Macaca fascicularis: one gene and its partner. The protein of the gene in region 2 binds, or shares a complex with, the protein of the main gene of each other region. Links are inferred from orthologs where the notes say so. Each region holds a gene or a part of one and is shown on either strand. Other genes may lie near its edges.

Region 1 (5,936 bases), on a different chromosome or scaffold from region 2:
GGCGACAGAGCAAGACTCTGCCTCAAAAAAAAAAAAAAAAAAAAAAAAAAGTATGGAGAGCTGTGTACATGGCAGGAAAGGAGTAGTTGGATTGAGAATGAACAGATCTGAAATCCTGAGATCTGACAAGGAACCAGACTTAAGGAAAGTTAAGTTCTCAGCACCCATTGCAGTGTATTTGTGAATGAATGGGAAAAGGGTGTCAGTCCAAGGGGAGATCAGGTGGTTCCTCCTCATCAGAGTCAAACTCAACATTTTCATCTTTTACCCATCGACCTCGTCCATCTGGGATCCATCCTGAGCTGGAAACATCAGAGAAAATAGCATCGATTAGGAAAGAGGCTTATTAAGAAGTTAGTGGTGAGCTCACACCTGTAATCCCAGCACTTTGGGAGGCCAAGGTGGGTGGATCACTTGAGGTCAGGAGTTCAAGACCAGCATGACCAACATGGTGAAACCCTGTCTCTACCAAAAAAAAAAAGTTAGTGGTGAGAAAAAATTGAGAGCCATGTAAGTTGGGTGGATAAAACAAAACGAAACCAAAGATAAAAAACAACAATAGGAGGCCGGGTATGGTGGCTCACGCCTGTAATCCTAGCACTTTGGGAGGCCAAGGCAGGTGGATCACCTGAGGTCGGGAGTTCAAGATCAGCCTGATCAACACGGAGAAACCCCGTCTCTACTAAAAATATAAAATTAGCTGGGCATGCCTATAATCCCAGCTACTTGGGAGGCTGAGGCAAGAGAATCGCTTGAACCCCGGAGGCGGAGGTTGTGGTGAGCCAAGATTGTGTCATTGCACTCCAGCCTGGGGAACACACAAAACTCTGTCTCAAAAAAAAAAAAAAAAAAAATTGGGGGGCGGGCACGGTGGCTCACGCCTGTAATCCCAGCACTTTGGGAGGCCGAGGTGGGTGGATCACAAGGTCAGGAGATTGAGACCATCCTCACCAACGTAGTGAAACCCCGCCTCTACTAAAATACAAAAAATAAGCCAGGCATGGTGGCACATGCTTGTAATCCCAGCTACTCGAGAGGTTGAGGCAGGGGAATCGCTTGAACCTGGGAGGCGGAGGTTGCAGTGAGCTGAGATGAGATCACACCACTGCACTCCAGCCTGGTGACAGAGCGAGACTCCGTCTCAAAAAAAAAAAAAAAAAAAAAAAGCTTTGAAACAAGAAGGGTCAGAGAGAAAAGAAAATCTGAGGAAACTGATTAGGCACACTCACCTTCGAAGGGTGAGATAATGGTCCAGGGCTCGTCTTCTTGTGGGGCTCATGGGTGCAGGGGCTGAGACAGTTGCTGACTCCTCAGCCTGTGGGCCAGCCCCAGGTTCAGGTTCCCTACTGATCTTCCCGCTTTGGAGTTCGACCTCTGAGGGTGGCACAGGAGAAAGGGAGACAGAGGGACCAGGGGCTTCTGGTCTAGGTAGAGAAGAATAGTCTGTAAAAGCAGTAAGGGAAAGGGCCAACTCTCCTATGACTCCCAACCTCTTAAAACAGTGTTTCTTAAACTATATTTTTCAAGATATTAGTAAGTTCTGCATACAAAGGATTTTAGAATCATGAATTTGGGAAAGGCTAGCTTTAAATTTTACAAGTTTTTTTTTTAATTCTTAAGACTTTGTATAGCTTTTAAAACTGTTACTCTTTTTTTTTTTTTTTTTTTTTCTGAGATGGAGTCTTGCTCTGTCACCCAGGCTGGGGTGCAGTGGCCAGATCTCAGCTCACTGCAAGCTCCGCCTCCCGGGTTTACGCCATTCTCCTGCCTCAGCCTCCCGAGTAGCTGGGATACAGGCGCCCGCCACCTCACCCGGCTAGTTTTTTGTATTTTTTAGTAGAGACGGGGTTTCACCGTGTTAGCCAGGATGGTCTCGATCTTCTGACCTCGCGATCCACCCGTCTCGGCCTCCCAAAGTGCTGGGATTACAGGCTTGAGCCACTGCGCCCGGCCTAAAACTGTTACTCTTCAAGTAGAATTACAAAGTGCCATTTCCCAAACTTTATTTAAAAATCACAAAATTCTCCTTTTCTTTTTCTTTTGAGATGGAGTCTCACTCTGTCACCTAGGCTGGAGTGAAGTGGTATGATCCTGGCTCACAGCAACCTCTGCCTCCCGGATTCAAGCAATTCTTCCACCTCAGCCTCTTGAGTGGCTGGGATTACAGGCACACACCACACACCCAGCTAATTTTTTATATTTTTGGTAGAGACGGGGTTTCACCATGTTGGCCAGGCTGGTCTTGAACTCCTGATCTCAAGTGATCCACCGCCTAAGCCTCCAAAAGTGCTGGGATTACCGGTGTGAGCCACCGTGCCCGGCCAAAATTCTCCTTTTCTTGAAACACTAAGTAACATCTCCAGAACGCTAGTATTCCTCAGAATACAGACTGGAAAACACTTTCAGAGCCCTCTATCTCCTTCCGAGCCTTCCTACCTCTGGCTTTCCCCTCCCATACCTGTACTTCCGGCGGCAGCAACTGTTATAGTGGGGAGCTCTGTGCAGAGCACTCTGGGTGATAAGTCGTGTCTGGGTTAGCAGAGGAGCCTGGTAAGAAGATGGGAGACAGAGTCAGAGCCTTCAGCCCTCTGCCCTTCCAGCCTGGTGTGTGCAGCAGGGTCTTGCCTAGAACACACTCTCCACTCTCTGATTACCTCAGCTTTGGTTTCTTCCCTCCTCAATTCATTCTGATGTCTTGGATTCTGCTTCCTTTCCTTTCCCGGCTGCTTCTTGCCATAGAAAAGCTGCAAGCCTGAAGAGAAAGGGAAACAGAATTAAAAGCATAGCACCAAGGCTGGTGTGCAGAGATTTCGATTTATTCCCCATCCCCTGTCTTCCCCCGAACTTACTGGACAGATGTTTCTTGCCTGCACGGTGGGCAGTCAGCATGGCCAGGGTGTCCAGTACCGGTCGATGGGGGCAGATGGCACAAGCAAAGCTGAGCAGGGGTAGAGAAGAGGATAACTGGTCCAGGGGAAGAGGGTTGGGCCTGTCCCTGCCGTAAGTCCCACCCTGTCCTAGCAGTCTTTGCAAAACCCAACTCCCTGGTGACCCAATCTCCACTTCTTCCAGTCCTCACTAGCCGCCAAAGAATCCTAGATACTTCTGCTGTCCTAATTAATAACAAAAGTTTGTTGAAGCCGGGCGTGGTGGCGTGCGCCTGTAATCCCAGCTAATCGCGACGCTGAGGAGGCAGGATCACTTGAGCCCTAGAGTTCAAGGACAGCCTGGGCAACACAGCTATTGAGCCTCTAACCGCAAAACCCTCAGGCTTGAGCCACTCCTCGCTCTTACCGTCCATCCCGAAGCATCAGCGCCTCATCCTCTGGGATGTAACTGGCGAGGAGGTCCCCGACTCTTCTTTTCTGCAGGGAGTAGGGGAAGAAATCCGGACGGATCAGCAGGATAGGAGAGAGGGATGGAAGTTAAATGACAGAAATGAGGAGTCAAACGGAATAAGGACATAAGGACCCTGGGGAGAACAGCGATCATAGACCGAAAAAGGAGTCACTACACAGCTCTAAGTCGCCTGGTTCTCTCCTGCACCCCCGAGTTGTTGCCAGAGCAATGAAACAACGCTCCTTCCCAACCTTCAGAGAGCGACTGAAGAGGCTGCAGATCCTCTCCGCTCACGCTTACTTTGAGCACATTGAGTTGACTCCAATCGTCTCCTTCCCTCTTGAAAGACATCACGACTGTGAGTCCCAGAGTGATAAATTTTCTTGTTCCGGTTTCGCCACTCCTCTAGGCCACCGTAGCAAGAGCGGGACAGCGCCTTCTCTTTTCTCTTTGTCTTCCTGTCGGCCCCCGTACTTCCGGGAATGCACTTCCACGCATGCATTGCGCCATCCGGATATCCACTCTCTGGCGCGTGGAGGGAACTGCATTTCCTATGGTGCCGTGCGACTCTGCAGACGCGACGCCTTTTGGGAAATGAAGTCTTTTCCTCAAAGACCTTGCCGCTCAGCTGGATCCAGGCCCTTGCATCTTGGTGGATCTGAGGCGTTTAGAGGGACAAGAACCTAGATGTGGAGCCGAAATTTGAGGGTGTGACCTATCTGATGCGGAGCGGACCTGTGAGGATCTCTGAGTGGAAGGTGTACTACAAATTCTCGCAATCCTCACGCTCTTCGTCTGCGGCGACAGTTCACCTGGGGTGGGCCTGATTTGTTCCTGGCTCTAGCAAACAAACCCCGGGACCGGGCAGAGCTGGGATGTGGGAGCGCCCTGAGGCCAGGCTACTTGGGGGCAAACTGAGGAAAGAGTGTTGAGGATTATTTCTAGAGTTCAAAGGTCAGAGGTCAATGTAGCGAGGAGTTGTGGGGGAGTTCAAAGTCGGAGGGGTGCTTAGGGGCGAATCAGGGAGGGACTGAATACTCAAGGGACAGATTTGTGGATAAGGAGTTGGAGGGAGGAGAAACCGGGAGGGGGCAGGTGGCGTAGTGCTGGGGAGGCGGGGACACAGGGGAAGAGAGAAGGGGAAAGGAATCCCCTGAATATCTATTCCCAGACTTCAGGCCTGTCACTCGCAGTCTCGGTCGGGCCTCCCCTAGTTGCAACCTAGCTGTCGGCAGGGTGAAGAGATGGCTTCCCCGTCTAGACAGCCCCCGCCAGGGGGGTCAGGACTGCTTCACGGGAGCCGGGCTCGTTCATATGGAAGCCTGGTGCAATCGGCCTGCTCCCCAGTGAGGGAAAGACGCCTGGAGCATCAGTTGGAGCCCGGAGACACCCTGGCTGGACTAGCACTCAAATATGGGGTGACGGTGAGTTTTCCAGGATTGGGGTGCAGACAAGAGTCAGGAGGGATTTAGTCCTGAGAAGAATGTAGTGGACCTTCTAGGTAACCTCCCCTGAAATGTTCCTAATGTGTTGAACTCTGTTCTGCCTTTATCTTTGTTTTCCCATCACAGTGTTGCACTGCGTGGTTGGGACAAGTTCTGCTCTACTATTCCAATGGAGAGGAACAGCTCCTATTTTATCATGCCAGACACTGTGCTAGGGGCTTCACATACGTTAGCTCATTTCACCCTCACGTCCATATCAAGTATACATTTATTGTTCCCTTTTGGCAGATGAAGAAACTGAGACTTGGATTGGTTAACCATTTTGACTAAGGTCAAATAATGATTGTCAGATATGGGATTCAAACAGGTCTGTCTGACTCTGTAAACCACACAGAAAATTTTACATTGAGAGTGATTAAACGTTTACAGCAAATAATGGAGAGCTTATTTTTAGTTCTCAGTTCCTAAAGTGCCTACCTCTCCTTGCTCTTGGTTCCTCCTCAGTGCTCTGCCTTCTTTCTAGTAAGGCGGCTTCCCTGGCACAAAACAGGTACTCTACACCAAGTATTTCAGGTCATGCATGGGGGAAATTGGATAGATGTAAAAATGTATAGCATTGAAGTTGATGAGGTTACTCCCCCTACCCCCACCCCTGTTTTCTTGTTCCATCTCACTCAAGCAAATGTTGAATTTAGCCAACATTTTTATGCTTTAGCCAACATTTAAAGCACTGTGATAACTTTTCTGGGAGACAGAAACTTAAACTATATGGTTGCTGTCCTCATGTAATTTATGGCCTAATGAGAAATAAACAGGTACACAAATAATGATTACAAATGACAGAACGTGGTGAATTTGTAAAGGTATTAACAAAGAATCAGGGCCAGGCATGGTGGCTCACCCCTGTAATCCTAGCATTATTGGGAGGCTGAGGCAAGTGGATCACCTAAGGTTATGAGTACGAGACCAGTCTGGCTAACGTGGCAAAACACTGTCTCAACTAAAAATACAAAAATTAGCCGGGCGTGGTGGTGCTCGCCTGAAATCCCAGCTACTCAGGAGGCTGAGGCAGAAGAATTGCTTGAAGCTGGGAGGTGAAGGTTGTGATGAGCTGAGATCGCACCACTGCACTCCAGCACTCCAGCCTGGGCA
Region 2 (4,873 bases):
TTCCATCTCCCTTGTGATCCATCCTATAGCCGCAACCACAGTAACACTAAAACAAACAAAAAACCCCGTCTGATTGTGTTCTCTTCCCAAACCTCTGCTATCTCCCCCACTGCCTACAGAATACAGTCAGTGCTCCTCAGCTTGGATTCAAGGCTTTGGCCCCAATCTCCCTTTTTAAACCTCTCCAGGCTTATTTATTAAGTGCTTATTATATGCCAAGCACTAGGCTAGTCACCGAGTTCATAAACCAGTTGGAAAGACAGGTACATCCACTAATTTTAATAAGGTGTGATCAACACTATTACAGAGACTGTGAGAACACAGATAGTTTCAGGTAATGGATGATAAAATACTATGTTTTTGCCCTTTGCAGGTTCACAAGTTCAGTCTACAATAGCAATGTCCAATACAGTGGTCAGCCACATTTCAAGTACTCAACAGTCACATGAGGCTAGTGTCTATCACACTTGGATAGCTGAGCACAGATACTTTTATCATCCATGGAAGAGGGGGTTAACTATAGCTGCTTCCAAGACAGCAAGGGAGCCGGGTGCGGTGGCTCACGCCTGTGATCCCAGCACTTTGGGAGGCCTAGGTGGGCGGATGCCGAGGTGGGCGGATCACGAGTTCAGGCGATGAAGACCATCCTGGCTAATATGGTGAAACCCCGTCTCTACTAAAAATACAAAAAGTTAGCTGGGCGTGGTGGCAAGCGCCTGTAGTCTCAGCTACGCGGGAGGCTGAGGCAGGGGAATCGCTTGAACCCGGGAGGCGGAGGTTGCAGTGAGCTGAGATCGCGCCATTGCACTCCAGCCTGGACAACAGAGCGAGACTCCGTCTCATAAATAAATAAATAAATAAATAACCCAGACAGCAAGGAACATTTCCCATATGTGAAGCCTGTGGTACTAGCTACCAATTCCCCAAACGCAACCCCTCTCCCCAACACCTTGGCTCCGGTATATTTTGTAGTACAGGCTCCCAAGAGAAAGAATGCATGAAAGTACTTTGTAAACTATTAAGTGATACAGAAATGTGATATGATAAACAGGCTCAGAGTTCTTACTTTCGTCATAGCTTTGGCTACTTCAAGCAAATTATAGCTCTTTTCTCAAACTACTCCCACCCCTATAATTGATGCCAAAGTGTTCTGAAAAGAAACACAGGCAAAATGGTTATCCTAGGGCTAAAAATCCTGATTATACCTACCTTGAGGTTTTTAATCCAGGACCCTACTTCACCACCCGCCTTCTCTGTCACTGTCTCTACAAAGGAAGGACACGAATTAAGACTTCCAAAAGAACAAAATATTTATTATTTAAATTTAAGAATTATCAGACAGCTAAGTAACGGGAATTGGATCCTCATCGGGGTCTTCTGGCAAGTCGGAAGCACCACCACCCTCTCCTGTAGCTCGATGCTTCTCTAGTTTAGCAATCAATTCTTTCGCTGGATTGAAGACGCCATTGGTCTGCTGGTCACAGACATAACAGCGCGGGGTGGTGCGGAAATGCTGCAGTGCACAGCTCTCGCAGAAATAATGCCTGCACTTGGTGACAACTGGGTTTTGGAAGCTCTGGCGACAGATGAAACACTTGAATGGTATTTCCTCATCATCGCTTCCCACTTCATAGTTTTCATCCTCATAGACACCATAGCGACCCTCATCAAGCTCACGTTCGATCTGCCACCCATGCTTGTAATCTGAACGGTCATGGAGGAATTTGCAGCTGTCTCCGAAGCCGCAGAAGCCAGTCTCTTTGTAGTCCTTACAGATGTCGGGCTGGTAATCCCAGCGCACGGTGGCACGTAGATGCTCGGGCGCTCGGATGGGGCCCTTCCTCACCATCCCGGAAGAGGCATTGCCCATAGACGTATCCTTGGGCTTCATGTATTTCTGATAATTGTTGATTCCCCGATAGATCTTGTCATCCTCCTTGCCCCTCAGCTCCTCCTGGATCTTCTGGCTGCGCTCAAAGATGGCTTGTGCATCGCGCTCTTTCTCTGTGTCCAGCTCATAGACAGCTGTCGCCCCCATATCCTCTGGTCCCACGGGTTTCGCCGAGCGGGTGGATTTATAAACCACGCCGAGACTCTCGGGCTCATTTTCCTCCTCCTCCTCGCTGCTCAAGTCGCCGTAAGCTGCCTTCTGTTTACCACTGTCACGAGTCTTCTGTATCATTGGATTGTGAGTCGCCCGCTTCTTTTCCGGTCGAACCACAGTGCAGCCTTCGTCGCTACTGCTGCCGCTGTCTCCGGGCTCTGGGTCGCAGGCCGGGCGCTTTCTGCGTCCAGCAGCCCCTTTCCGCCCAGGCTTTTTGAAAAGGAAGGTGCACACCTGATCCGCCGTCTTCCCTGGAGAAAACTGCTCTGCCATTTTAGAGTCCCGAGCTCCGAAACGGCCGTCGCTGCCTGGGTTGCACTTGGCCTCTGCGCGTTACTCCACGTCGCGCGCTCCGCCGGGAGTCGAAGCAAAAGACACTGACGGAAGAGAACTGCGAGAGCGCGAGCGCCAGCCTCTCTTGAGCCCTGGCAGATCCCGTCGCTTCCTCCGGAGCCGTACGTGGCACCGCCCCGCTCGCGGGCGGCCGCGGGGCTTACTGGGAAGGGAGCCGAAGCCCGGTCACCTTTCAAGGACCCAGAAGTAGGGTTTTGGCCTAGATAACGGGGCAGAGATGTGGTTCGAGATTCTCCCCGGACTCGCCGCCATGGGCGTGTGCTTGCTTATTCCAGGACTGGCTACTGCGTACATCCAGAGGTTCACTAACGGGGGCAAGGTAAGGCGGCTTCCTGGGCCCGGGGGCTGACTCCACTGGCTGATTTCTGAAAAGGATGGTGGGCAGAGAGGCCGTCAGCCTGCGGACCCTCTCTCCGAGGCCGGCCCTCTACTTTCTTCCGGTTGCCTAGAAGCCGAGGCTTGCGAAACGAAGCGCGGTAGAAACCACATCCTGCTCTGGTGAAAAACAGCGTTTCTGGGTGTATCAAAGTGGGCCTTAGGGCAGAGTAGCGACGCGGGGGCCGGAAAGGTAGATTAGAAGAGGTGGCTCAAGCCTGAGAATCCCTCACTGCAACCTCCGCCTTCCGGGTTCAAGAGATTCTCCTGGCTGAGCGCGGTGGCTCACGCCTGTAATCCCAGCACTTTGGGAGACCGAGGCGGGCGGATCACCTGAGGTCGGGAGTTCGATACCAGCCTGACCAACATGGGGAAACCCCATCTCTACTAAAAATACAAAATTAGTGGGGCGTGGTGGCGCATGCCTGTAATCCCAGCTACTCGGGAGGCTGAGGCAGGAGAATCGCTTGAACCCAGGAGGCGGAGGTTGCAGTGAGCCGAGATCGCGACACTGCACTCCAGCCTGGGCAACAAGGGCGAAACTCCGTCTCAAAAAAAAAAAAAAAAATTTTTCCTGCCTCACCCTCCTGAGTAGCCGGGACCACGCCCGGCTATTTATTTATTTATTTTGGTAGAGACGGGGGTTTCATCATGTTGGCGAGGCTGGTCTCGAACTTCTGACCTCAGGTGATCCACCCGCCTTGACCTCCCAAAGTGCTGGGATTACAGGCGTGAGCCGCCGCTCCCGGCCACCCTTGACTTTTTTATTCCCCACTTTCTCTTGCAAGCGTTTAGGAATTTACTGCAAGGTCTTGTGTTTTACATCAGGATTCATTTTCCCCTCTTAGCCCTTCACATCATCTCTAGAGTACAGAGTATAAATTTACTTACTTTTTGAATTTGTGATTGTCCACGTGTGATCTACAGCTGTTGTTTCTTAGTGTCCCAAAAGGCAACAACTAGATATTTCTTTTTTTTTTCTTTTTTTTAAAAAGGAAAAAAAATTCATGTTGGTTAAAATAGTGTAAGAAGTCACGGTCACCAACTTAATCCTAAAGTGTAGTGGTCTGATTTTATTTAGGAGATTCTGTTCTTGTACTACTAATTTGCATTTTTATTTGAATGATGATTCCATTTCTCTAGAATGTCCCTTCTAAAAATTGTAATATCCATCAACTGGGTCACTCACTTTTATAAACTGCAACAATAATTGTCTCTTATTTGAAGGAAAAAAGGATTGCTCATTTTGGGTATCACTGGAATCTGATGGAAAGAGATAGGCGCATCTCTGGAGTTAATCGTCACTATGTGTCAAAGGTAAGAAGCCACTCTGATGCCAGCCTTCTGCCAGGGTTGAGGTGGGTTCTGGTAATGCCTTGCCAAGGGTCATACAATGCTAATATATAACTAGCATTTTCTTGTCTACTAGTGAGGTTGGCATCTTTTTACATATTTAATCTTTTATGTTTCTTATTTTTTTTAGTTTTTCTTACTGTCATATATTTCTTATTCTGTGGATTGTTGCCTATATCCTTTGCCTGTTCTATTGTTTTGTCTTTTTTCTTTTCAATCTATAGTTCTTTATATATTCTAGACTTTTAATTTTTTGTCTATTTTATATATGACAAACATTTTTCCCAGTCTGCTGTTTGTCTTTTTCACTTTATGATGTTTTTCATCAGGTAGTTTTAAATTTTGATATTCAATTTATCATGTTTTGTTGCTCTGCATTCTGAGTTTTTATGTCTCCCATACAAAGGCCTTTTCTACCTAAGGTTATAAAAATACGTTCAAAAAATAAAATAGAGACAGTCTTGCTGTGTTGCCCTGGCTGGCCTCAAACTCATAGGCTCAAGTGATCTTGCCTCAGCCTTCAGAGGAGCTGGGACTACAGGTGTGCCACTATACCTGGCTCATAAAATTAGTTTTAAAAAATAATTTCTCCTAATATTGTTTCTTTAAAAAAAATTAGTTATTTGGTCCCATCTACAGGTCATTTTGGAGTATAATGTGAAGGGAGGATTAACTTTACTTTTTTTC

What was found. The genes of interacting proteins can lie anywhere in the genome.
Region 1: RNF113A (region 2) and SCNM1 share a complex: the UniProt entries of both Homo sapiens proteins name them as parts of the minor spliceosome. The link is inferred for Macaca fascicularis from reciprocal best matches to the Homo sapiens genes RNF113A and SCNM1.

Annotation. Positions count from the first base shown.
Region 1 is NC_088375.1:110,052,091-110,058,026, forward strand, and holds the start of SCNM1 (sodium channel modifier 1), read right to left. Parts: upstream 3,700-5,936; 5' UTR 3,691-3,699; coding exon 3,640-3,690; exon of another isoform or gene 3,591-3,639; intron 3,366-3,590; coding exon 3,295-3,365; intron 2,939-3,294; coding exon 2,850-2,938; intron 2,753-2,849; coding exon 2,655-2,752; intron 2,548-2,654; coding exon 2,459-2,547; intron 1,444-2,458; exon of another isoform or gene 1,425-1,443; coding exon 1,230-1,424; intron 303-1,229; coding exon 203-302; 3' UTR 1-202. Other genes in the region: LYSMD1 (lysM and putative peptidoglycan-binding domain-containing protein 1), read left to right, coding at 4,584-4,763. UniProt on the Homo sapiens protein: As a component of the minor spliceosome, involved in the splicing of U12-type introns in pre-mRNAs. Plays a role in the regulation of primary cilia length and Hedgehog signaling.
Region 2 is NC_088395.1:126,232,199-126,237,071, forward strand, and holds RNF113A (E3 ubiquitin-protein ligase RNF113A), read right to left. Parts: upstream 2,484-4,873; 5' UTR 2,378-2,483; coding exon 1,343-2,377; 3' UTR 1,286-1,342; downstream 1-1,285. Other genes in the region: NDUFA1 (NADH dehydrogenase [ubiquinone] 1 alpha subcomplex subunit 1), read left to right, coding at 2,676-2,777, 4,061-4,150. UniProt on the Homo sapiens protein: Required for pre-mRNA splicing as component of the spliceosome. As a component of the minor spliceosome, involved in the splicing of U12-type introns in pre-mRNAs. E3 ubiquitin-protein ligase that catalyzes the transfer of ubiquitin onto target proteins.